Danio rerio: one gene and its partners. The protein of the gene in region 2 purifies or fractionates together with the protein of the main gene of each other region. This does not show direct contact. Links are inferred from orthologs where the notes say so. Each region holds a gene or a part of one and is shown on either strand. Other genes may lie near its edges.

Region 1 (8,046 bases), on a different chromosome or scaffold from region 2:
TTAAATGCTAGCTTTGATACTTAACCCTCTTTATACAGGTATGACTGGTTTAGTCCCGTCATGAATTAATGAAAGTGGAACTAAAATCACCAGTAGCATCTGTCTTAGAATATTTGTACATATCAGTCGATTCATAGAAGCAAATGTTTTTAAAAATAGACAATATTGGGTCTAAACTAAGTGTCTAAAAGTCAATGACATCTTGTTTGCTGAACTATTGTATTAAATTAATTTGCTTACATTATGAAACTTAGGAGAAAAAGGCAATTACGGGTTGATTTTTTTTGCTTTAGGAACTTGAATTGTAGTCCTTTTAACTGATTTACTATGCTTTATCTAAAACCTTTTTGATGTGAATAACAATGTCAGCTTTCTGATAGTTCACATAATTAGACATTATCATAAAAGATAAACATCACAGCAGTATTGCTTATGACAACAAAAACATTCTTGTACTTTTTGTTTCATTGATATGCTGTAATGTTTAATCAACATCAAAAACCAGTAACATTTTATAACATTTCCTCTAAATGTACAGTTGTTTACATTAGTAAACAAGTAATTGTTTTAATAGGATTTTGCTCTGTTCAAATATACACAGGTCACTTTATTAGGTACACCTTACTTGTACCGGGCTAGATCATTTTTGCCTTAGGAACTGCCTTAATTCTTTGTAGAGTGGATTCAACAAGGTACTGGAAATATTCGTCTTGGTCCATAATGACATATTAGCATCGCGCAGTTACTGCAGGTTTGTCGGCTGCACATCCATGATGTGAATCTCCTGTTCCACCACATCCCAAAGGTGCTCTATTGGATTAAGTTCTGGTGACTGTGGAGGCCATTTTAGTACTGTCAACTCATTGTCAGGTTCAAGAAACCAGTCTGAGACAAGTCGCGCTTTATGACATAATGCCTTATATTGCTAAAAGTAGCCATTAGAAGCTGGGTACACTGGTCGTATAGGGATGGACAGGGCACCAACAATACTCAGGTAGTCTGTGGCATTGACACAATGCTCAATTGGTACTAACAGGCCCAAAGTGTGCCAAGAAAATATCCCCCACACCATCACATCATCACCACCAGCCTGAACCGTTGATACAAGGCAGGAGGGATCTATGCTTTCATGTTGTTGACGCCAAATTCTGACCCTGTCATCTGAATATCTCAGCAGAAATCGAGACACCTCAGACCAGGCAATGTTTTTTCAATCTGCAATTTCTTCATTCTCCTCTCACCTCTGACATCAACAAGGCATTTGCGCCCACAGAATTGCAGCTCACTGGATGTTTTCTCTTCTTTGGACCATTCTCTTTAAACCCTAGAGATGGTTGTGCGTGAAAATCCCAGGAGATCAGCAGTTTCTAAAATACTTAGACCAGCCCTTTCTTCCCTATTCTGATGCTCAGTTTAAACTGCAGCAGATCGTCTTGACCATGTCTATATGCCTAAATGCATCAAGTTGCTGCCATGTGATTGGCTCATAAGAAATTTGCGTTACAAGAGCAATTGGACAGGTGTACCTAATAAAGTGGCCAGTGAGTAGGTTATGCCATACAAATGCCATACAAAATCAGTATCATAGGAGTGTGTTTTAACTCTCTTCTCCATGCTCCGCAGGTTGGCCTTGTTTTACAGTAACTGGCTGCTGCTTGTTGGATGCCGACTGATTTCAGAGGTCCACCTTGAATTCTCAGACTTGGACGTAATCGATATAAAGAGGAAAAACTGACATCCATTCAAAGTGAATGAGTTCTGTTGTGCAGCTCTCTTAGGTCTTGTTCCAGTTCCTGAGGGCTTTCCCTCCTTTCTCTTTGTCTTTGACTCTCTTTCTGAGAATGTGAGAAACATTTATCAAGGTCAAACACATCTACAAGCTGCACATACATACACACACATGCAGATACACACACATACACAACCGTAGTGTTTATTTTCCTCAACATGCAATCTGTCTCCTCTCTCAGAACATGTTTATTCCCATGGTTTTTGTCTTTTTGTTCATTTGTTTTGTACTATGAAGGAGTGTTGATACATTTGTGTGAATTAGCAAGCTGTACATTTAATGCCAGATATTTATTACGTATTGTGAGGTTTACAACGGAACAGGAACATGGGTCGAAATCCAAAGTCTTTTGTATGGAGCTGCCTTTGAATTCATACAGCATTCTGAGTTTCTGTCTGTTTGCGGAGCGAGTAAATGGTTACACGTGTGGAGGAATGTATTGCGTTTTGAAGCACAACATCAACTTGTTTATAAAAGGGCCGGACTGCTCTGAGGTGCATTTGTAAGAATATGATGTTTTGTTTTAGGGTTTGTGTGTCCAAAAGAAACATTTCGAATTTTGAATGTGAATTCATTTCCATTTCTTTTTTCATGAAGGCATGATTGTTAGCTTCTTTTCCCCCACTCGTTTCTGTTCTTTACCATCTAGTGTTTCTAAATCATCATTTTAGCTAAACAATTCTGATATTTAGAATTGTGCTTAAGTTACTTGTTACATTTTATTCTCCACTTTCTTTGCTCTCTCAGTATTTGCAGTGAACCATAACCTCATTTGACTGGTGCGTTTTCTCGATCAGGTCCTGATCGTTTTGCTATTTTTAAGCACAAGAAGAGCTGAACAATCATATGTGCGTTTTCATTTTGATATAAGCGTTTCTCCTAATGCTTTTGGTGATGCGGTCAGGAAAGCTTGCTTGCTGTTTCAGTTACAATCACTGATGAAGCTTAATGAACGTTAATGTGAACGTTATTCTTCAGCAGAAGCTGGTTTTGCTTTCATGGTTTGCTTTAATGTTTCTGAATCTACAATTTGCTTTTAAATAAGCGCACGTCCAGTCAGGCTTCAAAAGAAAGGTACTCCTCTCAAAGTCGCACATTTCAGTCAGTGGTTTCGTTCAATAACGTCATCAAGGGCACTTTTTTGCGAATGTCAGTTTGCATATGTTTTTTCTAAGGCTTGCTGAATGAACTGAGCATGAATCCTTTTCCCCCCTCGAGCTGTATGGTTTTTTGAATTTATGGGTTATGGTGAGAACACCTAAAGTACTTGCCTTATTTCAGAGAGGTTGTTTTTTTTTAAACGTTTAACTTGTGTAGTTTTAAACGATCAGCTTTCTCTTTCTGAAGACAGTATTTTTATTGAACTCCATTGCAGGATGGAACTGATGGGAACAAGTACCAGCACCATGTCAAACAAGACAGTCCACCCGAATATCTAATTGTCAAAAATAATATACATCAAGGTATACCAGCATGGATATTTGACTGAATAAAAGCATCCAAAATGTAAAACGCTACTCAGTTGGGGCTTTTTATTTTTCATAACCATCACATATACTTAATAAAAATGTGTGTCCAAGCCAAGTATTTAGTAGCCTAAGCAAATATTGAAGTTAAGAAAAAGGCCTTTCTTTTTTTTTTTTTTTTTTGAGATTCTGAAGAATTATCTTAACAAGGGTGTCAAAACTCGGTCCTGGAGGGTTGGTGTCCTGCATACTTCATTTCCAACCCCAGTTAAACATACCTGAACCAGCTTATCAAGTGGTTTAGGTATACTAGAAACTTTCAGGCAGGTGTGTGGAAGTTGGGAGCTAAACTATGCGGGACACCAGCCCAGAGTTTGGACAGCCCTGTCTTAAAAAATGAAAGAAGTTTAATGTTAAGTGAACCTATAATGGTTCACTCAACATTAACATTAAACTTCTTTCCCCCTTCAGTGGTTTATGAATTTAACGACTCTGGTGGTAAGAATACCCAAAGTATCTGCCAAATTTCAAAAAAGGTGTCTTTACAAATGCCAAAATTGTGTAGTTTTAAATGATCAGCTTTCTTAAAGACCATCAAATATGACAGTCCACCAATCACAATGTAAAATACACTCACAAAATCATCACAAACTATTGAAAATATAAATATAATAAACGTGTTTACACATTCTTCATTCATAGAATGCAGGTTAAACAACTTTTTTCTGTTTTTTCAGTTTGGGTTTCCTAATTTTCGTTGGATTCGGAATGATTTTCTTTACTTTTAGAGGCTGGAGAACCAAAGGAGATGCATCACTCGACAGCTCTTCTAGTTTCCTCTTCTGTCCGATTTCTGTGCGCTTTTCTTTGGTTGTTGGTGTTGAGTCTGTCTGAATCCACGCCACGGGGAGCTGTGGGACCATCGGTGTGATGGCGCGGACCGTATTCTCGAACTCCTCGGACCCGCGTCTGAAGCCCAGTGCCAGGACGCACTTGAGGCCGAGCAGCTCCGACAGGCTTCCACTCAAACCGGGTACCTGGCAGGCGGGCACCGACCTGGTTTTACTCAGCGGGATTAAATGGCTCGTCATGTGAGCTGGGGTGACCGAGTTACACACGAGCACCAAACTCAGCTCGTTCCTTTCTAGGCCCTTGGTGACCTCGTTGATGCCGATGGCGAGCTGTTTCCTCAGGGCCAGATTGGTCCAGCCCGGCTCGGGGGTTTGCACGCTCTCTGCGGGTTCAGAAGCTGGGTTTTGCTCTTCGGTGGGTTTTGATGCCTTTTTTCTGGACCTCCTTCTGCTTCCCCAATCGCGAAACCGGCTGACACGCTCTTTCCGAAGCCCGGTGGCGGATAATTTTTCTTTCAGAGTGTCAAGTATTAAATGTTTGTGTTGTTTTTGTAAGAGGTCACTCCAGCCAATGTTGTACGGGTTATTCAGGGATGTTTTGACTGGTATCGGCTTCTTTTTTTCTTTCTTCGTTGCTCCTTTCGCTGGGGTCGACATTATTGCTGGAAAGCTTGAAATGTTCAAAAACTAGCATTACAAATCACGTTAAACTCAACGAGGCATGTAGCCTATAAACAACTTAGTATTCATAACAACCAAGAAGACACAGCAAAAATGATATACAAACCTAATTAACTAGCCAGAAATGAAGATTTCCTCAGCTCAACATCTACAGCGTGTACTAAGTTGTGTGTGCAGACATGTTGTTATTGAAGGTCTTCTTCTGTGGTTAATAGTTCAGGGTTTGTAATGCACACACTGCCATCTAGTGAATGTTTCCGAAAGAGCTTTTCGGTTGTAATTTGTCATAAACGTAAACAGTCAGGCCAGACCATTTATAAATCTTATAAACACCTTGATTTTTTTGGCCAAATTTCATATTTATAAGAGCAAGTTTTGTAAGTGTAAACCTTTTTTTCCTAAATTCAAAATTGAAATGAAAATGTATTTTGAGTGTATTGCGGGATCAACAAACTTAAAAGCAATACGAACAGACTTTGATGAAGGACTTTTAACTTATCTTGGACTAAATGACTGAAAACCCCTGGATTGTTGTTGTTTTATTGATGACATTTGTTGTTAATGTTTTTCAAGCCTTCAATTTAAAAATCGTATAAACGTAACAGCTCATAGATAGCATGAAATCAGTGACTAATAATAATATTAGTGAGGATTAATAAATATTAATATTGATAGTGATTGCTTTGTTTTAAACTGATGAGCACTTAATTAAGAGATAAATGTATTGTTTGGACTAAATTGAAAATAATAAGCTAGTAAAAAAAGGCAGTAAAGAGTATATGATCTGTATACCTTTTTATCATTATGAGTCAAAGGCAAGATGTTTCATTTTGGTATCTGCATCATTTAGTTTGCAAAAAAAAAAATGCAAATAAAGTGACTACATGGTAATGCTACGAAACAACTTTGAAAATAAATGTTGAAATGTAGTTTAATTTTCTGTTGTAATCTAGGATAATGTTTATAACTATGAAAAATTAAACAGCATTATTCTAGTCTGTTAAAACAAATAATATCATATTTTATTGAAGATTACATGTTTTTATTCCTTTATGGAATTTCGTTTTTCCTTTTTAGAGGTTTGAAGGATTATGGGTAAATCTAGACATTTAAAAATGCACTTAATGATCCACAATTAGCCACAATCAGACTTTAATGTCATCATATAATTGTAACAATATTTGTTTTATTACATATATATATATATATATATATATATATATATATATATATATATATATATATATATATATATATATATATATATATATATATATATATATATATATATAAAACTATTGTTAGACTTAAAATGTCATTGAATAATTGTGACAAGATTTGTTTTTACAGGAGGTTACACCATCTGAATGACATTTTAGTATCTCCTCTAAACCTAAATAATAAGGTCATAAAGCAAAGAATATATGATCTCTCTTTTTATGATTATGGGTCAAAGGCAGGACATCCCATTTTGATATCAGCATCATATTAAATTCACAAAACAGAATGCAAATAAAGTTTTAAAATCAACTTGTTTTAAAATCAATGTTGAAATACGGGAAAATGTTCTATTCTCATTTGGGATAATGGATATTATTATGAAAAATGAAACAGCATACTTACTCTGGACTGTAATTATATAAAAGAATGAGTGATCATAAAATTATTTTTAAAAATGTAAGATTACAATTTTGCTATTCCTCTATTTCCAAGAGGTTTGAAGAATAATAGTAAATATAACCATTTAAAAATCAAATGAATTGTAATTGATAAGACAATTAATGTCATAAAATAATTGTAACAACATTTTTTTATAATAAATAGACTGTCTGAATAACATTTTAGTGTCTCCTGTAAATCATGGTAAAAATAATGAGCCGTTGTTTTTTTCTAGGGATTTTTTTAACAGCATTGGTGTATATTTGAGTTTTTTAAATTGTATTTTTTTTTATCTAAAATTGAAGTATTTAATTCAGAAACAAATGTTCTAATTGGAAAATTATAACTTCATAAAGTAATGCATGATCTACCTTTTATGATTATGAGTCATAGGCAATACAAATAAAGTGACTGTTTTGTAAATCATGCCACAAAAACGTGAAAATAAATGTTGAGTGTAATTTTTTTCTATACTGTTCCTAAATATATACATATAGTGATCATATTAAATGAATAAGTGATCATATTAAATGTTATTATATTTTAATTTATTTGAAATTAGACTTTCAAAATTATTTTATACCTAGAGAGGTAAAATATAAAAATATATAGCTATAAAAATGAAACAGTCAATATTATTTAGTCCAATTCATGTTTATTTATATAGCACTTTTGCTGTTACATTTTTGAGGCTAATTTGTAATCAAATAATTCCTCTCCTAATTTTGCCTGACACGATTTTACTATAGTTATTTTCACAGTTGCTTTTACTCAGAATAATATTTAAATATATTCTAATTCGAATCCATTTGAATGCATAATTTTATTTGTCATGTTACGCAAACCTGCTGTTCGTGCAAGCGAATGAGTAATAAATGCGTTCACCCTAAAAATGATGAACAATCTGCGGGTCTCACCATCGGATGTTCCATCAGCCAATCAGCGCTCAGCTCCTCTCTCCCACAGCGGTGTCACCGTAAACTCGATTCATCAGTGCATCTACGCTACGCTCAAGCCGACATCACAGCCGCTCAACACTCGCCTAAGAAAATGACTTTAAAGGTACATAACTGCTCTTTCCTATAATATCACATCCATTGCACATATTGAGATACGAATCATGAATCCAAACTATTTGGATATTCTTTAAAGTCCAACCGCTGGATAAATATAAGTAGGATTTTAAAGATGACGCGGTGTATTATTATAATGCTGTATCATATTCTGCTGCATATGCACAAGGCTATGCTATATTTATATGAATACGCTTTTAGCATTTGTATTGCACACGTAGATTTTTTATCTGCAGCTTCTGGATGTGCACTCGTCAGTGAGTTACGTCATTCGTCGCTCATCTTTGCTTTAGTATGAAGTTGCGCTATGCGTATCTTATACACAAATTGTTCGTTTTGTATTAGAGTCTTGTGGAGTTGGCCCTCAACATGGCAACCCATAGCTTGTAGGTTTATAATGGTACAAAGGGCACAATGTTGGCAACATGCAACTATTAGTTCATTGTGGCAATAAAACAAAAGGCTTCATACAGTGCGCGAATAATACACGATGCAAAGTGATTAAGGAAGTGCTTAGTGGGGCAAAA
Region 2 (7,543 bases):
TTTCCTTGGAGGAGAAGGCGGTGCTTGAATCGAAGGGGAGGAGCCCAGGGCTCTTTTTTGATGAGTGATGTCGTCTGCTTTCCTTTTAACGGCAGTTCTCTGTGACTGGCCTGCGCTGCCAATCATAGCCCATAGTTTGGTATGGTCGACTGACGTGACGAGGGTGGAGGACGAAGAGGAGGTGATGGATGGCTGCCGAACTTCAATAAGCTCTTGAGCAGAAAATTTAAGAAGGAGACTTTGAATGCAGGAATGGGAAACTGGAGACTCAGACTGTGAATGAAAATTGAAGAGAAATCACAAACATATTTGAGTCTCTCAATTTATTTAATAGAAACCACTTTTTTAAAAAATAGATTCATTTATCAGCTCCCCTAGAGTTAAACAGTTGAGTTTTAAGAATCAATTCAGTCATTCTCTGGGTCTGGCTGCTTTTAGCTTAGCTTAGCATAAATCATTGAATTAAATTAGACCCTTAGCGTCTTGTTTGAAACTTAAATATATAAATAAATGTCAATAACTTCGATAATATTAAAGCTTTACTTCTCTAGTAACACCAAGACGTGGATATGGCTCTGAACTATACTCTCATTCGGCCATAATAATCAAAAGAATTTTACTGTCGTACCATGGACGCAGCAGGCGCAATGACATTACACAGCACTATTGATAAAAGTAACAGTAAAGTTTGTTAATTGTTATGCCAGAATGCTATTTATTAGACTAATAAGCCTAAAAAATAGCAACTTTTCATTTTCTGTCAGTCTTGTTACACAATGTAACTACAGAAGAGTCAAGCTTTAAATAGGAAAATAATCAAAATACTTTTTTTGAGCAAGATGCTAATAGTCTAATCTGATTCAATTATCTATGCTAAGCTAAGCTAAGCTAAAAGTGCTCCACATAGATATCTATGATTAAAATCGTAACAGTTTAACTCTTGGGGTCTTGTTAAATGAGTCTATTAAAAAAAAAAAAAAAAGAGTAGTATTCCTTTAACACTTTTTGACAATCTAACAGTTATTCTAAAAAAGGGTGGAATAATATTATTAATAATAATAATAATAATAATAATAATAATAATAAAAAGATATGGGTTCAGATTCATAGCTGTTAGTGCACACAGCTCTTACTGTATTTAGCTGGTTGGTGATCGTTAGGGAATCAGTTGGCAGGGAAAGGCTCAGTTCAGAGAGGTATCCCAGCAGCCTCTTCTCTAGCTCTGGGTCTGGAGGATGCTCAACTTCTACTTGTGGAGGACTCTGAATTGCTGGTCCCGGGCTGTCACTTCTTGCAGATCCACTCTCAACACTTCCAACCTCTGTTAAAATAAGAACTGTTAGGAAATTCTCATACAGCAGGTGGCATCATAGACTCACTATTTCGACACCGCTGAACTTTCTTTTAGCATACATTCAAATGTTTTTACCATTTTGATAGTACACTTCTGATAGTATTAGATATTTCCACGTTTAGCATTTGAATTCAAGTAAATAAATCTGATTATATCAGAAACGTGGTTTACAAAGGTAGTTTAATGTTTAGCAAATAAAACAAGAAAAGAAAGAAAACACACAATAACATGCAAAACAGTAAATTATTCATTCATTCATTTTCTTTTCGGATTAGTCCCTTTATTAATTTGGGGTCGCCACAGCGGAATGAAGCGGGATGTCCTTCTAGCTGCAACACAACACTGGGAAAATAGTAAGTTATATAATTTTACATTGAAAATGATACATTAATTATACATTATACATTAAAAATAACAGTTACGCTAATATTTCTCACAGAGGACTGATATCGAACATCTTTAGGTCTAGGATTTGTCAACAACATATTGTTATGTATGTTCTCCAGCTGACAAATAAATTCATACATCACATTTGTCATTAAAGCAGGGAATGGTTGTACTCTTGCCTAACAGAATAATAAAAAAATGAAGCACAATCCTCATAGTCATTTTACACAACCTGCAGCTTAAGGAGACTCTTTCAGCTAAACGTAAAACCACAAAAGAGCTGTATAAAAACAATTACAATTTGCTCTAAAGGGACTTATCTTAACCTGTTATTAATACATAACGTTCTCTCACCTACATATTTGCTTGAGCATACAACTCACGACGTTGCCTGTACATATCATCATTATCTCTTATTTTATTGTTAACGATAAAGATATGCCCTGGATGTTTTACAATTTTTAATACATTTAAAAAGTGATATGATAATAAAAATCATAAAACTGTCTTCTTTGTTTTTACATATCACACAAACAGTTAAAAATACACATTTTATTTTTCAGATATCAGATAATGTAAAATTACTCAACACACCAGTGCCCAGTTGAGTTGGGTCTTTTCTTCTCCTCTGCAGCCTCTCTCGTAGTGAATCCAGCTGCTTTTTGTGCGCCTGGATGTGACTCCATGTGTCCGACATGGCTTAAATTAAACGAGCTAAACAGCAAATAAACAAACAGTACTGATTAAACAGGGGTTTTATGAAGTTTAGATTACATCTAGCAAACTAACGCTGAGTGACTGTACCACCATACACACCGTGCCGCTAAACTGTTTCTATTTTCAAAATAAGAGACACTAACTATATTTACTGATTAGCAACGATCTCGTTCATACAGGTACTTTTATATTTTTACGTATTTTAACTCATATATATTTTTAATTAGGATTCAATTATAACTATTTGATATACGAAATAAAAATAGATATTTCCCCACCAAGAAAAGAACAGTATGTATTTTGTAATCACATAGTGTATTACTTCCAGTGTACGCAAGACGTCTTCCGGAATGAGAGATAAGACAGATCTGTAAATAAGCAGATTCTTTATCTACCAGGAATTAAGCGCGGATCTGAAACAAGCTCTTCTAATTCAAGGTACTACTCTTACTCAAAATCCCAAATTATACATCAAACATTATATATTAAAATCTATATCCACTAACTTAAGTGGCAATGAATTGGAAATGTTTGTGTAAATGAGAACCTGCTTCGTAAACAAAATGTTTCTCGAATGTGATGTGGATGTAATATCTTATTTAATATACAGCGTTATACCCTGAAATATAATGCACGCCCAGTGTATATAGCCATTCACGAATGGATGATTCATATGAGTCGGTTCATTGTGGGGAATCGTTTAAATACATGTCGTTAAAATATAATTCACACATCATTTATATGTAAAATTGTTACGAGTCTTATCTTTAAAACGCGAATTAATGTTCTGTTTGTGCAGCACCTTTCAGGTGATTCGACATGGCTGAGCCACGAAGCCCGGTGTCCGCTTCTGTGCCCCACAATCCAATAGTCCTGGCTGCCCCCGAGGGCTCGACCCTTGAGATGGACCCAATAGAGTTCACCCTCCGCAAGCGACTGCCTCGCAAACTGCCCAAACGGAGGAACGACGTCTATGTCAACATGAAGACTGACTTCAAGGCTCAGCTAGCGAGGTGTCAGAAACTTCTGGACGCTCACAGGGAAATCTGCATCCACGGCCTGGGACTGGCCATCAACCGGGCTATAAACATCGCTCTGCAGCTCCAGACGTCCAGCCAGGGCGCCCTGCAACTCGCCGCAAACACCTCCACGGTGGAGCTCATCGACGACCTGGAGCCTGAAGATCCGGACGAGGCCGGAGAGCATCTGACCCGTACCCGGAATAACTCGGCCATCCATATCAAGGTGTTTTACCCCAATCCGTAGTTTCAGCTTCAGTGTCAATATAATGAATGAGGGCTTCATGAACAATTGTATGACGTTAGTGGCATGTAGAAGTTTTTTAAAGTGATGCATTATTTATGATTTTTTTCTGCTTCAAGACTTTTTTTTTAATTAATTGCTGTGTTATTGAATGTTTTATTTGAAAAACAAGAAAGAAATGTGCCATATGTATTTTTTTCTACTATGTATTTGTGTTCTTGTGTATAGTAAACTTAAATGGAAAGTAAACAGCTTAAATGCAAAGTAAACAGCCCCACCAACACTTTGTTGATTGTATCTTCCTGCATGTGTATGCATATTAAGACAACAATATATTTTAGATATTATTATTATTAATTTTATAAAAGGGATAGTTCACCCAAAACTGAAAATTCTCTCATAATTTTCTTCATCCCTTTACCTGTCAGAAACTTGTTTGAGTTTTTGTTTCTGTTGAACAAGAAATAAGAAGAAAATTTACAAAACTGTGACCATTGACTTCCATAGTGTTTGATTTCTACTTTGGAAGTCGATAGTTACAACATTATAACATTTTTCAAAATATCTTCTTTAATGTTCAACAGAAAGAGGAATCTCATAAAGGTATGAAACCAAGTGATTGTGAGTAAATTTTCACTTTTGGGTGAACTGTCCTATTAATAAGAATATAATGATGGCAAACCAGTATATAATAAAGGTAAAAAAAAAAAATAAATAAAAATAAAAATAAATAAATAAATATATATATATATATATATATATATATATATATATATATATATATATATATATATATACATACATACATACACACACACACACACACATTTAAACATTTTCATCAAATCTATCTTAGTTTTAATAGGAAAAATAAATGCATTTTAATAATTAATTAATAGCCTTGCCAGTACCATGTTAGGCTCCCTTTTGGCTTAAAAAAGGCATCGATTTCTCTTTGACCACATTGCATTTCTGTTTATGATGGATGCATTTAGCATATTACCAGGTATTATCCTTCTGGAAGTAGCCATTACAACACTGATTGACTGTGGTTACAGATAGATGAGTAGCAACAATACTCAGGTAGGCTGTGGCGTTTAAATGATAGTCAATTGTTACTAAAGCACCCAAGAAAATATTAGCCACACCATTTTACTGCACAAAACCCTGAACTACTGAATCGAGGCAGAATAGATCCACTTATCCGTAGATACGGATTGTAACAAGTGGTTATTTGAGTTGCTGTTTTCTATGAGCTCATACCAGTCTTGACATTTCCCTCTGTCTTTTGGCCTCAAACAAAGCATTTTTGCAAACACAACTGGTGTTTGCTGGGTGTTTTCTCTTTTTCGAAGCATTCTCTGCAGACCTAGTAATGGTTTTGTGTAAATCAGCAGCTACTGAAATTCTCAGACCAGACTGTCTTGAATCGGCAAAGTCTGATTTGAATTTTTTTGGATTACGTTTACATGCTTCAGTGCACTGAGCTGCTGTGATGTGACTGGCTGGTTTGATATTTGCGTTACGAAGAAGCAAGATGTACCTAATAAAGGGGCCACTAAAGGTATAAACGATAGAAAGTAAATAAAAGGCACATTGTTAAGATAAATATTTTAAAATAATAATAATAATTCATTCATTTTCCTTCGGCTTAGTCCCTTATTTATCAGGGGTCGCCACAGCGGAATGAACCACCAACGTTTCCAGCATAAGTTTTAGACTGGATGCACACACAGCCGCAACCCAGTACTGGGAAGCATCCGCACACACACACACACACACACACACACACACACACACACACACACACACACACACACACACACAAAAACAACCAATTTAGTTCATCAAATTCATTTTCCAGTTCCCATACTGCATGTCTATGGACTGTGGGGGAAACCGGAGCACTTGGAGGAAACCCCTTGTTAACATGGGGAGAACATGAAAACTCCACAGAGAAATACTAACTGTGGTGACAGAGCTAAACACTGAGCCATCCACAATAATAATAAATCTTAGAAATAATTGGAAAATGAGCTGTTTTGTTTTTCTCAAAATTTCTTTTCGCCTATAGATGGTCCTCTAAACTGAAATATTTGGCAATGGTTATTTACAATGGATGCTTTGTTGATGTTCAGAAGTAGACTAGTAATTCGAGTCTTGTTTAGCCATTCTTGATGGCCAGAACTACAAGCCAAGGTGAATAAAAAGACACAAAGATGTGTTCAAAAATATTTAGTGGTGTGACTAAACTCCATCAGAAGAAACAACATGACAAAAATCCATTACTTATTTTATAATCCAGTTATGGCTTAGGCATAATGTATGCCTATATTCCTCTCCATAATAGCTAAAAAAAAGTACTTGCTTTCATATCAAATACACTTTGGAATCACATGTATTTACAGTGTTTTGGTTCATTCTCACTAGAGATGCTTCATAAGACAAAAACTTCCACTCTTCTTGTTTTCACTATGTTTGTAGCTAAGAATAATACTGTGTATTTGAAAACCAAACAGCGTTGTGATGAAAGAACCACAAAAACAGCAAAATAACAGGAAAAAACATCTACAAACATACTTTGTTGCATTCAGACTGACTGATTGACAGATGTAAAAAAAACTGGCTATTTACGAAAGACTACAAACAAGTCCAGAAAAACAGCAACAAAATGTCAACCTTACGACCGTTTCCCAAAGGCAAGTATGCAGCGTCGTGCGTGAAGTGGAAGTAAGCCAGGATGTTCGTCATACGCTAATCAATATTTTTCCTGGCAGCGGTGTTATCTGTACAAGGCCACACTCATCGGCGTGTTTCGGACATGAGCCTCATCAGCTCGCACGAAAGTTTCCAATTCGCTCGACACTAGCAGCAATCTAGCCCTTCATCCTGTTCACCCCAAATGACCCGTAAGAATTCAGAATTACAACCATCCTCTCCTGACGTCCGACACATCCATTCTCAGCATTCTCAAAAATCACACACACACACCCACACATACATCCACGAAAATTAATAGAAACCTACAGTGCATAATTAATAACGATAAATAGTTGTCTCTATCAACAGTTGGAGGTGCTTGAGGCCATGGTAGATGGAGAAAGGGAGGTCTTTACTTGAACAGCTTCCGAGAAAAACCTGCAGTGATTCCAGCTCTAGGAAATATATATATATAAATAATGACAATTTCATAAACAGTAGAAAAAGAGTCCCAGATAAACCTTCCCAGTTGTGCTGGACAAGCTTCATCAGTCATATGGGGAAAAAGGAGTGATTTCTTGTAGATTTTGGCAGGTGGGTTTGCCGCTTGGCATTCAGGGGGATGTCTTCTCTTCCCTTTGTGAGTAAATCTTTCAAAGTGCTACAACTCCCAGTCATATATTTCCTTTGTAATAGTCCATATCCTGCCTCCTGATATGAGGAGCTTTGATTAGTTTGGCCTTTGCCCTGAATTGTTTATCAGCTGACACCCTGTCGACAGACAGGTGCATTGGCGAGCAGCAGACGCGCTTTTCCCCGAAGAAAGTTGACATGGACCTGAAACAGCTCTGAGATCGAGGATATTTTCTGTGTCTCCTTGTCTTCTCCACTACTGGTTGGAGGTACATATTCCTGATGGACAAAGAGAAAGGAGTTAAAAAGTTAGGTTCTGTCAGTCTTTAGTCTTTTAAGTCTTTTCAAATTGGAAATAAACCATACACCATTTATCTTGATTTCCATTCATGCCTTCATTTGCTATATTCACCAAAGCAGATAACATCAGAATAGAGAAGGATTTTCAGACTCCATCTGATATATATTCGACACACACAAACACACACA
Region 3 (7,962 bases), on a different chromosome or scaffold from region 2:
TCACCAGGTTTTCACAGGTTTGATGGGCGCAGCAGGCGGTGGTGATTTGGCAGAGACGCTCTCAGTGCTGCCCTCTCTGGACGCCTGAGCCAACATCTTCCTCTGCTTCTGGGACAGTTTACTGGGAATGATGGAGATCTTGCTGCTGCTGCTCGATCTGGAGTTCATGCAAACAATATGTAGAGAAAAAGAGCGGGGGGAAAATAGATAGATATTAAAGTTTACTTTCAACAGGCTTTCTTAAGCCACCATAGATTATTTAGTTTGAAAAAGTATCAAGTTGGTCAAAACCAACATAAATTAAAAAGCATGTTACATTATATTATAACGCATGGATTAGCATATTGTAACACAATTCTGTTGTTAGCGTGTTTCCAACATGAGTCTACATGATTTTAATATAAATAAGCATTGTTAGCATGATTCCAGCATGAATTAGCATGTTGTTAGCATGCTAATTCACGCTAGAATCATGTTTACTATGGTTACACATGAATTAATCTCCAGTTTTTAAACAGGCTATGGATTAAAGCTAACAATATTGTAAATAATGTTTAATTCCACTTCATTAGCTTGAATTATGGAATCATAACCGTTGGATTATGAATCTAACATGAATTAGCATGTTTCTAACATGAATTGACATGTTGTTAGCATGTTTCTAGCTTGAATTAACTTATTGCTAAGATGTTCTGGCAAGAATTAGCATGTTGTTAGCATGTTTCTCCAGTCTTTAGACAGGCTGTCAATTCAAGCTAATAATATTGTACAAAATGTTTAACTTCACTTCATTAGACCTTCATTAGCATGTTGTTAGCATGATACCAACATGAACTAGTATGTTGTAAGCATGTTTCTAGATTGAATTATCTAGTTGCAAGGATGTTTCTGGGATGAATTAGCATGTTGTTAGCATGTTTCTCAAGTCTTTTAACGGGCTGTTAATTAAAACTAATAATATTGTACAGAATGCTTAATTTCACTCCATTAGACCCTCATTAGCATGCTGTTAGCATGATTCCAACATGAATTAGCATGTTGTTAGCATGATTCCAACTTGAATTAGCATGTTGTTAGCATGTTACTCCAGTCTTTAGACAGGCTGTCAATCAAATTAATAATATTGTAAATAATGTTTAATTTTACTTCATTAGACCTCATCAGCATGTTGTTAGTATGATTACAACGTGAATTAGCATGTTGTTACCATGTTTACAGTTTGAATTAACTAGTTGCTAGGATGTTTCTGACATAAATTAGCATGTTGTTAGCATGTTTCTCAAGTCTTTAAACAGGCTGTCAATTCAAGCTAATAATATTGTACAGAATGCTAAATTTCACTTCATTCAACTTTCATTAGCATGTTGTTAGCATGATTCCAACAAGAATTAGCATGTTGTTAGCATGATGCTAGCTTGAATTAACTTGTTGCTAGGATGTTCTGGCATGAATTAGCATGTTGTTAGCAGTTTCTAATTTGAATAAACATCCTTTTCCAGTGATGGGTTGTAGCTGGAAGGGCATTCGCTGCAATAAACGTGCTGGATAAGTTGGCGGTTCATTCCGCTGTGGCGATCCCTGATTAATAAAGAGACTTAGCCGAAAAGACAATTAAATAGACCTTCATTAGCACGTTGTTAGCATGATTCCAACAGGAGTTAGCTTGTTGTTAGCATGTTTCCAGTTTGAACTAGCATGCTGTTAGCATGTTTCTAGCAAGAATTAACATGTTGCTAGAATGTTTCTAGCATGAATTAGCATGTTGCTAGCATGTTTCAAATGATTCCGTGTAAACTATCATGACTAACACGTGTCATAATAACACAATATGAGAAGATTTCCGCAATAAGCAGTTTAGCTGTCTGAACCAGACACATGACAGATTTGGGTTTGCAGTCACAGCTCTGATGTTCATGCAATATTTACGAATAACTCATAGCCCCCTCATCAACTATTCCCCACTAACCCGCTGATGGCTTTAGGAGTGGCGCCCAGATTCAGAGAGTTCGCCTCCATCTCCATGATGGCCCTGAGGTCCAGGACAGGAGCTGGTCTGGAGACACAGAAACATTCAGAATAACAGCGAAACAGAGAGGGAGTCTCTGCTTCTTGCTGTGAGAGAGAAGTTCAGTCACCTGGCTTTGACCGTAGGGATGTGTTCAGGAGTGGAAGACTGGACAGGCACAGGGCCGTTCTTCAAAACAGGGGTTCCCGGAGGAGTCTTCAGTCCTGCCGGTCCACGTCTCTCATCCTGCCAACATGAATACATAGAGTTCAAGTTTGTTTAATACAGGGGTTTTCAACTGGTTTGGCCATGGCACCCACATTTTTACATGGTCATCAAGCCGCGACCCAAATTTTTAGGAATTATAATATGATTTTAGGAATTATAATTCATTTGTATTTAATTGTTAACATACACAACTAGTGACAGATAAATTTTGAGAAAATCACCAAGACTTACAAATAAACAATATTTTATTGCTCTCATTTAACAAAATGTATCAAATTATAGAAATATTACAGAGTAAAAATGTCAAATACTGTAAACAGTGGTTAGTGTACGGAAAAGTTCAGTTACCATTAACTAAACTGAACTGTTTATAAAACATTAACACTGATCTGGTTGAACTGAACAGAAACCAGCAAACTGAAGTAAAATTATTAAAATAATCATAACCATTTTATAATAATCAGCAGTTATTTGCTGTTCTGCTTTTGTGTGGGCTTTCTTGGCCTTTGCTACACGGTGAGCACAGTAAGATGTACTTGTACTAGTTTTGAACATGAATATGTTCGGCACTTTTGTGATGCCCTCAGCTACTAGAGTCGTCTTAGAAAATAACCCACTGGTTTTTCCTTGCAACTGGGATGTTTGGTTTCTAAATGTCGTTTTAATTTAAGTTTCATTTCTCTCGTGAAAGCACCTCACTACATATGACACACTGAGGTTTAAAGCCTTTTTGTCGTGAAAATATTTAAATCCACACTTTACATATTCGGGGTCGTACTTGCGCTGGAATTTCACATGTCAAAAGGGTATATGCGGAGCTAACGTTAGTGTTGTTCCCATACTGATAAACTTCCGGTGACCTGTTATTGTGAACTTTTTTTCCCATTTTATACGGTTCCTTTTACATCATCGATGTTGTAACGTCATTAAAATACATTCATTTAGTTGCTCAAGCGTAAAACGAGAAAAAAAGCCATTTACTCGTACACGCCCCTCAGAATCAGCAGGCTAGCGCAGAAGCTCCATTAAATATACTGGGGTAAAATAAATGCTCATATTATAAAGACATGGTGGGGGAAATGTAATTTAATGCAGTGCTTCTTGTACAATCTGAGGCCCACTTTATATCGGATATCACTCAGCCAGTGGAGATCGCTGATTTTTAAAGAAAACAGACCTTAAACTCGCCGGTTTTTGCATTGCAGTTCGCCAAAAGCGCTTAACCAAGGTTACTGGCAAATAAAAAAAGTCCCACTTAGCATGCTTCGGCACGCGCATTTCAAAATAAAAGTCCGATATAAGTAAAATAAGTTAAATAATAAACTTTTGTTGTTTTTTTGATCACACACTCCGCGACCCACTCAAAATGTTCCCGCGACCCACCAGTTGAGAAACACTGGTTTAATACACTACCTGAAAAAAGGCTTGTCATTGATCCCAGTTGTAAGAGCAACAAATAATAACTTGACTTCTAGTTGATCATTTGGAAGAGGTAGATTTTTCCCATGAATCATCTGTTGAACAGCATCTCAATCATCACTAATACTGCAGAAGAATTACTGGAACCAGCATGGACTGCCCATTACATTACAAACCACAGGAGAGGGACAATTCTCCAGCAGGATAGCGCTCTTTCTCATACTTCAGCCTCCACATCAAAGCTCCTGAAAGCAAAGAAGGTCAAGGTGCTCCAGGATTGGCCAGCCCAGTCACTAAACATGAACATTATTGAGCATGTCTGGGGTAAGATGAAGGAGGAGGCATTGAAGATGAATGCAAAGAATCTTGAAAGTCCTGCAAGAACGCTTTCTTTGCTATTCCAGATGACTTTATTAATCAGTGATTTGAGTCATTGCAGAGATGTATGGATGCAGTCCTCCAAGCTCATGATGGAGTCAGACACAATATTCATTCTGTCTCCACTGCAGCATGACTTTATATTCTATACTGGACATTATTTCTGTTCAGTGACGACTTTTGTCCAAGCAAAGTCAGACCTTACTGTCCTAATTAAATCATTTAAAGTCAAGGTATCTTGCTCTAGAGTCCTTTGCCTTTCATATAAGCCACTTCTGATAGCAAATGATCAACTAGAAGGTATTATTTGTTCTTAAAACTTGAATAGGCGACAAGACTTTTGTCAGGTAGTGTACATTATAGCTTGTATTTATACGGGTGGGAAGCAATGAATGCATGTTTATAAATGAGACCCCAGGTGTGTTGTGATCACCTGAAAGACCGGAGACTGCAGGTCTCGAGGACTTCCCACAGCCATATAACTGCCCTCAGAGTCAGACATGATGAGCTCCTGCAGAGAGTCTACTGAGCTGGCCTTCACTGAATTACCCAAACCTGCGCAAAAAAACAATCATGTAAAACATACAGCATACAAACTAAAAGCATTTCTATTCAGGAATAGGCCTGTACAAATGACGTTTGTGTGCGCTGCAGATCATTAACTCTCAAAGATTAACTTGTATAAATGAACAGTTGAAGTCCTTATTAGTCCTCCTGATTTATTAGAACTAAAAATTCAGCTAAAAACCTAGTTTCTACTGAAAGAAAAACAAGTCACCCATAACTTCAATGGCCTGAGAGTGAGTGAACTAACAGTAAATGTTCTTTTTTGGGTAAACTATCAATTCAAGACAAGATTGAGCAAGTTAACCTGGAGTGGGCGGGCTCTGAGTGACATAATTAGGAGGGCTCTGGATGACGTCGTTAGGAGAGCTCTGGATGATGTCAGACAGGTTGTATCCACCAGAGCTGTCGGAGCGGCGCCGCGGTTTCTTCTTAGCCCTCATCTTGGCCTTCTTTAGCAGACTTTCACTAGATTAAACACAGTGAACACTCTGTATACAGATGAACAGCTCTACACAGACATGTTTCAGTGTTTAGGAAGGGTAGATTTCACACCTGGAGTGATCGGCTTCAGATGTGCTTTTACAGTCCACAGCGGAGTCCCACTCTTGGTCCTCGTAGGCGCTGAGATCCGGAGCGTCGGCATACGGCGTGATCAGCCGTCTCTGCATGGCTGGGATCTGAGAGAGCAGACTGAGGTCAGGATTTCTGAACAGAGCTTTTAAGGGCCGGGACACACCAAGCCAATGCCAAACAACAAGCTCCAACAAAAAGCAACCGTGTTGTCTGCTTGCGTTTGGCCCTGTCTGGAGCAAACAGATGCTTGTGAACACACCAAATGGACCGCAGCCAACCGAAACAAGAGCATTAAGATTTTTTTCCCAACACATTTCTAAACATAACTCATTTCTAATAACCGATTTATTTTATCTTTGCCATGATGACAGTACATAATATTTGACTAGATATTTTTCAAGATACTAGTATTCACCTTAAAGCAACATTTAAAGGCTTAATTAGGTTTGTTCTGTAGACTATTTGACTAGAAATATTGCTTAAGAGGGCTAATAATATTAACCTTAAAATAGTTTTATAAAAATATTCTAGCCAAAATAAAACAAATTGGAAAAAAAAAAATATTATAGGAAATACTTCCTTGGGTAAACAATTTTGAATGTGTATTTCCGCACTAGATATCTGTTCTCTCATTCCGCAAAAGAAAACAGGAAGAAACACAAAGTATAAACAAAGCAGTGTTTATTACTTTTGTAGCGTTTACTACTACTATCGTCACCGTTATTGTCACACATCATGGAGGGACTGGTTTATGCAATATCTAATAAATATTTGAGAAATGTACAGCTGGTCTCTTTGTGTTCTTTCTTTATTTTATATGTTTACAAGCTACACCTCTTTAGTTTTTTGATCTTGTTATTCAGCAACCAATCAGAGTGCTCTCTTCAGCCAACAACCGAAGCTGATTCTACACATAGATATATACATTAGATGTCGCCTGGCCTATTGTTGTCTATTGGACGGAATGAGTCAATAGCACCGCCATCTTGGTACAGGGTAGCGCTCCTTTAAAATGAATGCAGGACCAAGGTTCAGTGGAGGACTGTGGCCATCCAAAGCCAGAGATATACACATATATCTATGATCGGGAGCTTTCCTGGATGTTAGTATGTAATTTTTTTTTCTAATTAGGAAAATTATAATTTTACATCACTTTTCTACATTGATGGATCAGTGATCGCACGGGCATTCCTGACAAAAAGCTTGTGTTTGTGTGTACAGAAATGTACTATCCACCCTGCCTGTTTAATTTGATCTAATCATGTCCTGAAACACAGCTCCTCTCCTGCTTTCACTTCTCATACTGAAGGAGGGAGCGATTCGTTTGTGAATGAATCCCCCGAACGACTCTTTCACTAACGTTAGCCGACAATAACACAAGTTTCTGGCAGCGCAGCATCTCATTGTCATATTTCTTTTGCATTGTTTGCTGATTTTATTCAACAAAACTAGCATAAGCCGAGTGTTTAGTGCGAGTTGGAGCTACTTTGCCTTATAGTGAATGCAGTGACTGTCATCATCAATAACGTTACCTGATTAGCACAAAAGTTCAGAACATACAAAAACAGAAAAAAACTTAATATTACCTATGAAATGTTCTGCCTTTGTGCGTTGTTTTCTTTGTTTCCTCATTACTACACCTGTAGACATCGCTAAAGTCCCGCATCTTCACGTAATAACACTGTCTTGACTAGTGCGGTTGAATGATATTTGTCCTAGGAGCACTGTACCAATGTGGCGGCGCTATTGACACATGCTCAGGGTCCCTATGCGATATCTAGTGTATATATCTATGGGTTCTACATGCTGAATCGGGCCAACTCGATCCAATGTTATCCCGACTAGAATCAACATGTGAAACACACCAAACACACTAGTTAGAGAAATGCTTACAGATGGCCCAACAAAGCTCATGACCAACTGTTTGGCTTGGTGTGTCTCGGGCCTTTAGGAACATTCCACGTTTTTTTTTTTTAAAAGTGCCCTTTAGTTAAACAGTTTTACCATTGGATGGTAGAGTTTTACCATTTTAGAATCCATTCAGACAACCTCTCCGGGCCTGGTGGGAACACTTTTAGCTTAGCACAAACCATTGAATCTATTTAGACTATTAGCATCTTGCTCCAATAAATAAATGAAAGAGACGACAAGATTTTACTATTTAAAACTCTTCTGTAGTTACATCGTGTACTAAGACCAATGAAAAACGAAAAGTTCCTATTTTCTAGACCGATAGAGTTAGTAACTAAACTCCTATTCCAGTGTAATAATAAAGACTATAGAATACATAAGACATGTCACTCATATAGTTTGAATGTGGAAAAGTGTAACAATCAAAATGGCAAATTAACTTCTGTCACTTAAAGCTAAGATACCTTGATGGCGATTAAATCAATGGATAATTTTCATTTTTGGGCAAACTAACCCAAAGTAAGGATTTGAACTCACCGTTCTTCTGTACGCAGCCGCTACATCCACGAGGACGTCATCGCTCAGGATCTCCAGCGCTCTGACAGACAGACAATCAACAGTTGGAGGATCTATTTCTGCATTTCTTTTTTCCTTCAAGAATATCCATCCATGCAGAACATTTCTTCTTTCAAATCAAGGTTTATATTTCATAATTTTTGACCTTTTATTTCATACTGGACCAGGATAAACTTTAATACTAAAGCTAATTATTGACCTTATTCTAAAATGCGGAAGTGTGCCTGTTTACACGATTGTCTTAGAACTTCCGAATCAGTCGCCTATGGGAGAAATGACTAGGAATAATAAACGGCAGAAAACGG
Region 4 (8,472 bases), on a different chromosome or scaffold from region 2:
TATATAGTTATATAACCAGGCCCGGATTGGCTAATCGGGAGGACTGGGAGAATTCCCGGTGGGCCGGTCAGTTTGTTGGCTGCGAGGGCCGGTGTTCCTAGCTCCAGAATCTGTTGCTATCAGCAGTCACACTTTTTAAAAATAATTTATTTATTTACTTGACCACAGCCTTCTTATTCATTATTTTACCGCAGCTCTGCTCTTTTAATCTTTTTATCTTTTTAGCCTGCAGGTTAATGTTGATATACCTAGATAAGTCACCATTCAGTGTACAGCTGTTGTGGTACAGTGGTTAATACCACCAACCCGGGTTCGGACCTCGTCTGGGGGATAATTTTTTTTTTTCCATTTTTATTGATAAGACATATAATACTGTAAGGGTTGTTGAACATTTGAAGTTCTAAAACAGCTGTTTTCTCAAAAAAAGACTTGATAGTGTAATTAGAAACTGAATTGAAAATGACCTTATTTTAATATAGTCAGTGGTGAACAGAGGTGGGCCGGTCTAAGGCTTGAAACTCCAGGGCTGAAAAAGAGTCCCACTCCAGCCCTGTATATAACCCATATAATCTATGGAAGCCAATGGCTGTTTTTTCCAACATGCTTCAGTATATCTTCCACCATGTTCAGCAGAAGAGGAAAAAACTAAAGTGGATCAAGTGGAGGATGGAGGAGTAAGTGATGGCAGAATTTTCACTTTGGGGTCAACTATCAATTGAATAAGATGATATTCCATTTTTTCCTGTTAAAATTTACAAATTTGATTGGAAACAAAGCAACATCTGACTTGAAGTTGAAAATAAGATTTCAACAAACAATAGAAGACAATTATACAAGAACTCATCATGACACGATGACTGGTTTCTGTGCATTTAGTCTTTAAAATTATTTCTAAGCTCACTCACCAATTAATATCCAGATTAACTGCTCCAAGCCACTCCAAGAAACGATGTGGGTCACATGACAGCGTCTTTCCTTGTATATCCGATGGGTAAAGTGTGGGACACTGAATATTTTTCAGGATGTGCTGGCTGAAAACAGGCTTGTGCTCCTTGTATGTGTAACGGGACAGCAGCGCATGAAGAACTTCGTCTTCATCAGAACCTGATAAGGTTTAGAATACAAACAGCAAACGCAAATGAAAAATCCATCACAAAAGCCAGTGATGGTAATAATGCATTCCCTACAAACCTGTGTTGTACTTGGTGAAAAGAAAGTCATATTTGAGTGGAAGTCTGTCTTTTAAAGATGACAGAACCCGCTGGTATCGTTTGGTGCCTGGAGCCAAGCTTTTATCCGTGAGGTCAAGAGTCACAACTACAAAAATAAAGACATTGAAGAATTGTAATACTGTTTAATGAATAGTAGTTCATTTCATGCTGCTCAGAGTAAAGAAATTTACCAAATCTCAGAGCCTTTCTGTGATTATACTGGGATGGTCGGCCCTCCAAGCCAAGTTGCTCGTACGTGTCTTTATTTAAAGACAAAATGAACTGACCTGGGGGGAGAAATGTGGCAAATCAACATGGATACTAAAAACTTTATAATATGGAATTATTAATAACATTTTCAAATCATTAAACCAAATAGGGTTAATGCAGATGGACTTTTAATTTTTTTGTAACCCAGCTCAATTGATTTCCGTAGAACAGTATGGTGTTACAAAATCACCGCATTTAAGGTGTTATCTTTAAAAATCTTTACTGCCTGACTGAAATACGATATAAAGTGGGTCTTAGACTGTACAAGAAGCACTGCATTCAATTCCATTGTCCTGTGCCATGACTTTAAAATAAGAACATTTCTTTTACCACAGTATTTTCAATGGTGTTTCTGTGTTCATGACCTGTGCTCTGTGCATTTTCCACTTGAACAACTAAATGAATACTTAAGTCTATTTAACTGATTATATTTTAATTACATTACAACATAATGCTGTAAAAGGTACTGTATGAAATTTAAAACAGTCACATATAGCCTTCACTAGGCATTTATTGGGGGTTAAAAAACACTAGCTGTGCATATTCACCTTATTTTTCGTGTACAAGGGGGTGCCGTCTTTTTGGCTCGAAACTTCGGGCCTCAATCACTTCCATTGACTTTAAACAACATTCTGCTGCTTAATGTTGAACACTGATATTGTCTTATTATATTATTCTGCTTTGTCAGCATAGTCATGAACACACTTGTTTGTAGAGCATGTAGTTTGACTGTTTTTTGTCATTTATTATTCGTAGTAATTTCTACCATTGGCAACTGAATCGGATGTTCTAAAACAATCCCAAAAACGAGCACACTTCTGCATTGAGGAATAAGGTCAATAAACCATTATTTTTTTTTTTTTTATAAAAAAAAAACAATGAATTATTTTAGGGATTATGTATATTCAGCCTGTTGATTTACATTGTTGATTTTTTTGTTGAATACCAGCAATATATGGTACTGTAAAGTTACAGTTCACCCAAAAATGACAATTTCTACCATTGGCAACTGAATCGGAAGTTCTAAAACAATCCCAAAAACAAGCACACTTCTGCATTGAGGAATAAGGTCAATACATCATTAATATATTTATTTGTTTAAATAAAAAAACAATTACTTATTTTAGGGAATATGTATGTTTTTGGCCTGTTGATTTTGCACAATACCAGCAATATATGGTACTGTTAAGTTACAGTTCACCCTAAAATGACAATTCTGTTTTCTCTTGTCATCATTCAGCTTTCACTTGTTCCAAACCCGTTTCAGTTTATTTCTTCTACTGAACATGAATAAAGATATTATAAACAATGTTGACGACTTGTAATCATTGCCTTCTAGCGCATTTATTTCTCCTATCACTGGCTACCAGTTTCAGGCATTTAAAAAAAAAGTTTTTCTTTTGTCTTCAACAAATGCAAAGTTTGAAACCACTTGACAGTGTTTAATTGATAAGTAATGCATTTCAATTTCAATATAATCAATAAAAAGTGACATAAAGTGGAAAAAGATGCTCAGATAAGAATAAAAAATCTCAGAATGCCACAAATAAGCAAAAGCGTGTATTATAGAGTTGTTTATTAATAATAAACGCAGTGCTTGGATTACAGAACATCACTGGCTTATATATATATATATATATATATATATATATATATATATATATATATATATATATATATATATATATATATATATAGTTGATGTCAGAATTATTCAACCCCTGTTTATTTTTTTCCCCGTTTTTTTCCCAACACATTTCTAAACACAATAGTTTTAATAACTGATCTCTAATAACTGATTTTTTTTATCTTTGCCATGATGAAAGTAAGTAATATTTGACTAGATATTTTTCACGACACTTCTATACATCTTTAAGTGACATCTAAAGGCTTAACTAGGTTAATTAGGTTAACTAGGTAGGTTAGGGTAATTAGGCAAGTTATTGTATAACGGAGGTTTGTTCGAAAAAAAATATAGCCTAAAAACTGTTACAGAAATTGATATTGTTGTACTCAACATTTTTCGTTTGTTCTGTTTGAAAGATTTTATTTATTCTTTTCATGCAGATGAGTGCAGATTTTACATTTTTATTTTATTATCTTTAACTTCTTAAAACTATTTCTTTCCATTAAATTATAAAGATAAAATATTATGTTGTCTGAATGTCATCTTGTTGTCATATTATTGGTTTTCTTTGCAAGACAAATTTAAAGTCATTTAAAGTACTGAATGAATTAACCTGATTAACTCAGTTCAATAAAATAAAGCAGCTTTGTTAGAATCACAGCACAAGTGCATGTCTTACCACTGGAAAGAAGTGCAATGGAATTATCTTCATCAATTTTGGTGTTGTAAGAGAGTGCATAGAAATGTCCTGTGTAAAAATAAATGAATAAATAAAAATCAGTAACAGATTCTTACATTCACATAAACACTTTAGCTAAAAATAAGAAATAATTCTTTTTCAGCATTGTTAACTTTAATGTTAGTAAACATAAAATAGCTACCTTTTGTTTTTGCTCATGTTAGTTCACAAGCTTACAAGTCACAACTGTTTAAGACTGTTTAGTCCAGCTGCCATCATCTTATTGCTCACAATCTCACTTGCAAGACTTTTAGTCTTGTTGTTTGTGATTGTTGTACAATGCATGCAATGTTTCTATATGTTGTGTTCTATATACAGTATGTGACTAATGTGTGTATTATTATTCTAATTATTAGTATTAGTGTGAACAAACAGCTCTGGATTAATACACATTGAAACAATCTGAAATGAACCAATGCTGTATACGTCTTTAGCTCGTGTTATGTAGCGTATTACACAAAAACGTTAGCAATGGACATTTCTTGAACCTTTCTTCACGAGCGACTCCAGAAATGTTTCTTCCAGCAGTTCATATACAGGCAGGTCCCGCACTAAATAATAAGGGCTGAAGCTGCTGAAGGCACTGCTGATGTTAGCAGGCAGGATCCCGCATTCAGGAATCAGCACTGAGGTCTGCGGGAAACGCATTCCCTTAGTAAACCATCACGGTCAATGTTTACAATCAAAGTCGCTATGCTGAGCACATGTCTCGTGTTGAAACTTGCCTTGTAGTTAAAGCTGTGCTTCGACACGTGGATGTCATGCCGAGACTTTTCATTCAAGAAGTTTGATTTCTCGCACACCAGCAGGTTTCTCGGGCACTTTTCCAGCTCTGGCGACATTTTAATATCTGTACAAAATACTTACATTGTTGTTACATCAAGCAGCGAAATAAAGAAACGAGTTTATTACACTAAACTGCATCGGCGCGCCTGTTTAATGTTTCAAAATAGTGGCAACTTCGCCTGTCGCAAAGGTTTGACGTCAGTTCCTGCTGTCAGCAGAACTCGAGCAGCAGTTCGCGAGTCTTTGAAAACGATAAAATAATATAACTGATAAAATATTATTTAATTTTATTTGGAAAAAATTGTATCCATTATATAAAAAAATCGGTAATTATGAATAGCTTTGAGAATGGGGGTCTTAATATGCTGGATTTTTGTACATTTAATAATACTATCAAAATTAAATGGGGAAAATTTTTCTCAAAAATCCAACCTCAATCTGGAATTTTATTCCAAATTACATATTTTCTAAATTTGGAGGGCTTAATTTCTTATTACTCTGTAACTATAATGTTGAGAAAATACCAGCTAAATTATCTCAATTTCATAAACAATTTCTTCTTGCCTGGTCACTATTATACAAGCACAACTTTTCTCCTCACAAATATTTTATTTGGAACAACCTAAAGATTGTATATAAAAACAAATCTCTTTTCTTTCAGCGCTGGTTTGAAGCAAATATTCTGCTTGTTAGTCAATTATTTAACTCAAATGGCCATTTATTAAATTATAACGAATTTCTTAATCGATTCAATATACCCATCCCCCCTAAAGAATTTGCTGTGGTATTTGATGCTATACCATCTGGTGTTATTAGATTATTCCAAGGCATCCCCTATCCTTCTGTTTTACCTCTTTTAGACCCTTCTACTACAATGATTGGAAAATGTTGTTTCTCTGCAACTTCTTCAAACAAAACAATACGTTTTTTATAATGGAACTGTATCAGTTCCAAATGTTACTTTTTATTGGAATTCTTTTGTTTCGGATATTGATTGGAGAAAAATATGGCTCACCCCAAATAACTACTTAATTACAAATAAGATAAAAGAAGTTTCATTCAGAATTATTCACCGTACATACCCAGTCAATACTCTTTTAGTACGATATAAAAAAGATCTTAATATTAATTGTTCATTTTGTGGGCAGCACCCTGAGTCCCTGGTTCACTTATTTTGGCAATGCAATTACACTAGGTTGCTTTGGAAAGACTTCTCACTTTTTATAATTGAGAATGTTGATGAGGAATTTTCCTTGCTGTGGGAGAATGTTTTATTTGGTTTTGTTGATTATGGAACGGGGACTTTACATAAAAAGAAAAAATATTTTCTTAATCTTCTTGTCTTATTAACAAAATTTTATATCCATAAATGTAAATTTTCAAACCAAAAACCTTTTTTTTATATTTTGCTTACTGAAATGCAGTATTACTTTGAAACAGTGTCTAACTCTTTTACAAAAAAGGCTTTAAAAACAACTGAAATTTGTAAATTATATAATCTTTTTCTTTAACTTGTAATGTATTTACCCCTCCTGTTTTTTTTTTTGTTATCTGTTGTTGTTTCTTATTCCAAAATTGTTGCTCTTTTTGTCTCTTCGATTTCTTGTTAACATACTGTGATTATATTCTCATTTTCGTATATTAATAAAAAAAGAGTCTTTGAAAACGACCTTTACTTCATAATCAACAGTTGATAGGTGTTTTATCCTTTTATATTTGTTACCATTATTTATTAGAAATAGACTAGACGTTGTTAGTTATTTTCCCCCATTCCTTTTTATTATATTTTAACATGTACATACTCATTTCAATGTACCAGATATAACATAAATCAACAAGCAAACAAATGAACAAACAAAACAAAATGCCTCTCAGTGTTTTACATCAGAATACAATATCACCTCTTTTACTAATCTAATAAAAACATTTCCAACTCCACCACCCTTTAACAACAAAATAAAAGGTCCCAAACTAAAAAAATATATGTGTATTTATTTCTTAATATAGATTTTTTTTTCATTGACATGTTATCATCTCTTTCAGTCAACGGCCTATATTTGATGCACACATATTTGTCCAGTTTAAGGAAATAAGCCGTTTTGCTTGCAGAATACATATATTGCGCCATCAAGTGTAAACAGATCCACGTGCAGAAAAATGTGCTCCCCCTGACATGTGCGCACAATCACTCAGCATGTCGTCATCGTGTTTCTGCGCTATAGGCAATGATTGACAGGACGTCTTCTAGGTTAACAGTAACATATGAGGCTTTAAAAGACTTGTTATTATTATCATCCTTTATGTTTATAGTAGTTTTAGTATTATAAGCGATGAATTTCAGTAGCTATATTATTTCGTCATACTGTCCATCCGTTTATAGGCTGAGATAAATATAAATTATCAAACAATTATTCTTAAAACAGTGTATTTAATCAAAATGAATAGCAAATATTTCAAAAGACAGCTAATAGAATTAAGATTAACCTTATAACAATATAACTAATAATAATATTGATTTAATTTCATTTATTCAATAACCAATATGCCGATTATGTAAGAGGCCTTGGCTATCTATTTTTAAATTTCAATTTTGCTTATTGGTCAGCATCACCGAAGTGTTTGTAAATGATGACGTTGCTTTGACGCAACTCATGCGCTCGTAGTATTTGTCCAGCATCTTTCTTACGCAAAGTCTACAGGTCCAGTTTTGTTATATTTGAAAGGCTTTCTGTTCCTCATTTACAGCAGCCTCATTCAATATGATGAACGCTAATGAGGAAACTCAACCTTCAAACGAGACCGAGGCTCTGCCTGAACCAAAACACGCGTCAAAATATGATCAGGTGTCACGCTTTTCACCTGAAACTGTACAAATGGACAGACAAAGAGCCAAATCTCTGCCTGCAGATCTGTATCAGGACGAATCTTCCTCACACAATCGAAAGAGAGTGCAGTTTGCGGACATGATGGGGCTGAACCTGGAAAACGTCAGACACTTTTCTGACGATGCCTATGAAACATCTGCACTTCGGAATCCTCCATCAATACAAGAGCTTCAGCAGCGAGTAACGTTACTTCCGCTTTTTAAATTTCCCGTGAGTTTGTCTGAGTTTGACTTGAAGTCTCGCCGTCTTGGAGTCGCGCTGGAGAGTGTCTCAATAACCGCTTCTGAAGTGAAGGGTGTGATTAGAGTTACACAGAGATACGCAGGAAGAATGGAAGTTGGAGTCAGGTTTACTTCAAATAACTGGCTGACCTATGCGGATATACAGGCTTCACTGAAAATGAATGAAGAAGAGCTGCCCTGGGATCAGTTCGACTTTACTTTGAAAGCGCCGCTCAGTTCTGTGCAAGACTCGTCGATGAATTTCGCAGTTTATTGTCGGACTGATCACGGAGAATACTGGGACAATAATGATGGACAGAACTACAGCTTGAGGATTCAGACTACCTGACTATTTACATCCTTTAATGTTCCTTCAATAAAGTCTACTTGACTTTTTAATTACGTGGTGATTTGTTTAAGCAGGGATAAACGCTTTTTACTCTCTAGACTCCTAAAATTAATATTTAAATGTTACAAAATGGGGTTTTCTTTTTGGTACCATAGAAGAATCATTTTGAGTTCAAAAACGTTTTATTTTTATGGAAAACATAAAAATTTTAATAAGCATAATTATAATAACATTAACGTTAGCAAGTATAATGTAAAATGTAATGATGCGTTATTACATGTCGAAATATGATTAGCCTAAATGCTGTACAAGTGTTGTTCGTTATTAGTTAATCTTCGTAAATATACTAAGGTCTTCAACAACAAAAAAAATCAGATTATAAAC

What was found.
Region 1: the proteins of pop7 (region 2) and rpp38 purify together in Homo sapiens (co-immunoprecipitation; 3 studies listed by BioGRID and IntAct, with this or other methods). This does not show direct contact. The link is inferred for Danio rerio from reciprocal best matches to the Homo sapiens genes POP7 and RPP38.
Region 3: the proteins of pop7 (region 2) and ibtk purify together in Homo sapiens (affinity purification with mass spectrometry; 3 studies listed by BioGRID and IntAct, with this or other methods). This does not show direct contact. The link is inferred for Danio rerio from reciprocal best matches to the Homo sapiens genes POP7 and IBTK.
Region 4: the proteins of pop7 (region 2) and rpp40 purify together in Homo sapiens (co-immunoprecipitation; 4 studies listed by BioGRID and IntAct, with this or other methods). This does not show direct contact. The link is inferred for Danio rerio from reciprocal best matches to the Homo sapiens genes POP7 and RPP40.

The regions. Positions count from the first base shown.
Region 1 is NC_133191.1:31,716,376-31,724,421, forward strand, and holds rpp38 (ribonuclease P protein subunit p38), read right to left. Parts: upstream 5,001-8,046; 5' UTR 4,894-5,000; intron 4,777-4,893; 5' UTR 4,764-4,776; coding exon 3,966-4,763; 3' UTR 3,307-3,965; downstream 1-3,306. Other genes in the region: nmt2 (glycylpeptide N-tetradecanoyltransferase 2), read left to right, coding at 1,624-1,644; acbd7 (acyl-CoA-binding domain-containing protein 7), read left to right, coding at 7,497-7,508. UniProt on the Homo sapiens protein: Component of ribonuclease P, a ribonucleoprotein complex that generates mature tRNA molecules by cleaving their 5'-ends. Also a component of the MRP ribonuclease complex, which cleaves pre-rRNA sequences.
Region 2 is NC_133182.1:21,869,379-21,876,921, forward strand, and holds pop7 (ribonuclease P protein subunit p20), read left to right. Parts: upstream 1-2,822; 5' UTR 2,823-2,896; intron 2,897-3,257; 5' UTR 3,258-3,277; coding exon 3,278-3,724; 3' UTR 3,725-3,990; downstream 3,991-7,543. Other genes in the region: N(6)-adenosine-methyltransferase subunit METTL3, read right to left, coding at 1-273, 1,134-1,321, 2,336-2,438; epoa (erythropoietin isoform L1 precursor), read right to left, coding at 7,181-7,333. UniProt on the Homo sapiens protein: Component of ribonuclease P, a ribonucleoprotein complex that generates mature tRNA molecules by cleaving their 5'-ends. Also a component of the MRP ribonuclease complex, which cleaves pre-rRNA sequences.
Region 3 is NC_133191.1:5,090,079-5,098,040, reverse strand, and holds part of ibtk (inhibitor of Bruton tyrosine kinase), read right to left. Parts: intron 7,680-7,962; coding exon 7,619-7,679; intron 5,275-7,618; coding exon 5,150-5,274; intron 5,063-5,149; coding exon 4,902-5,062; intron 4,586-4,901; coding exon 4,464-4,585; intron 2,252-4,463; coding exon 2,136-2,251; intron 2,054-2,135; coding exon 1,967-2,053; intron 158-1,966; coding exon 5-157; intron 1-4. UniProt on the Homo sapiens protein: Acts as an inhibitor of BTK tyrosine kinase activity, thereby playing a role in B-cell development. Down-regulates BTK kinase activity, leading to interference with BTK-mediated calcium mobilization and NF-kappa-B-driven transcription.
Region 4 is NC_133177.1:26,938,736-26,947,207, reverse strand, and holds the start of rpp40 (ribonuclease P protein subunit p40), read right to left. Parts: upstream 4,759-8,472; 5' UTR 4,690-4,758; coding exon 4,573-4,689; intron 4,481-4,572; coding exon 4,336-4,480; intron 3,857-4,335; coding exon 3,788-3,856; intron 1,499-3,787; coding exon 1,403-1,498; intron 1,318-1,402; coding exon 1,192-1,317; intron 1,105-1,191; coding exon 906-1,104; intron 1-905. UniProt on the Homo sapiens protein: Component of ribonuclease P, a ribonucleoprotein complex that generates mature tRNA molecules by cleaving their 5'-ends. Also a component of the MRP ribonuclease complex, which cleaves pre-rRNA sequences.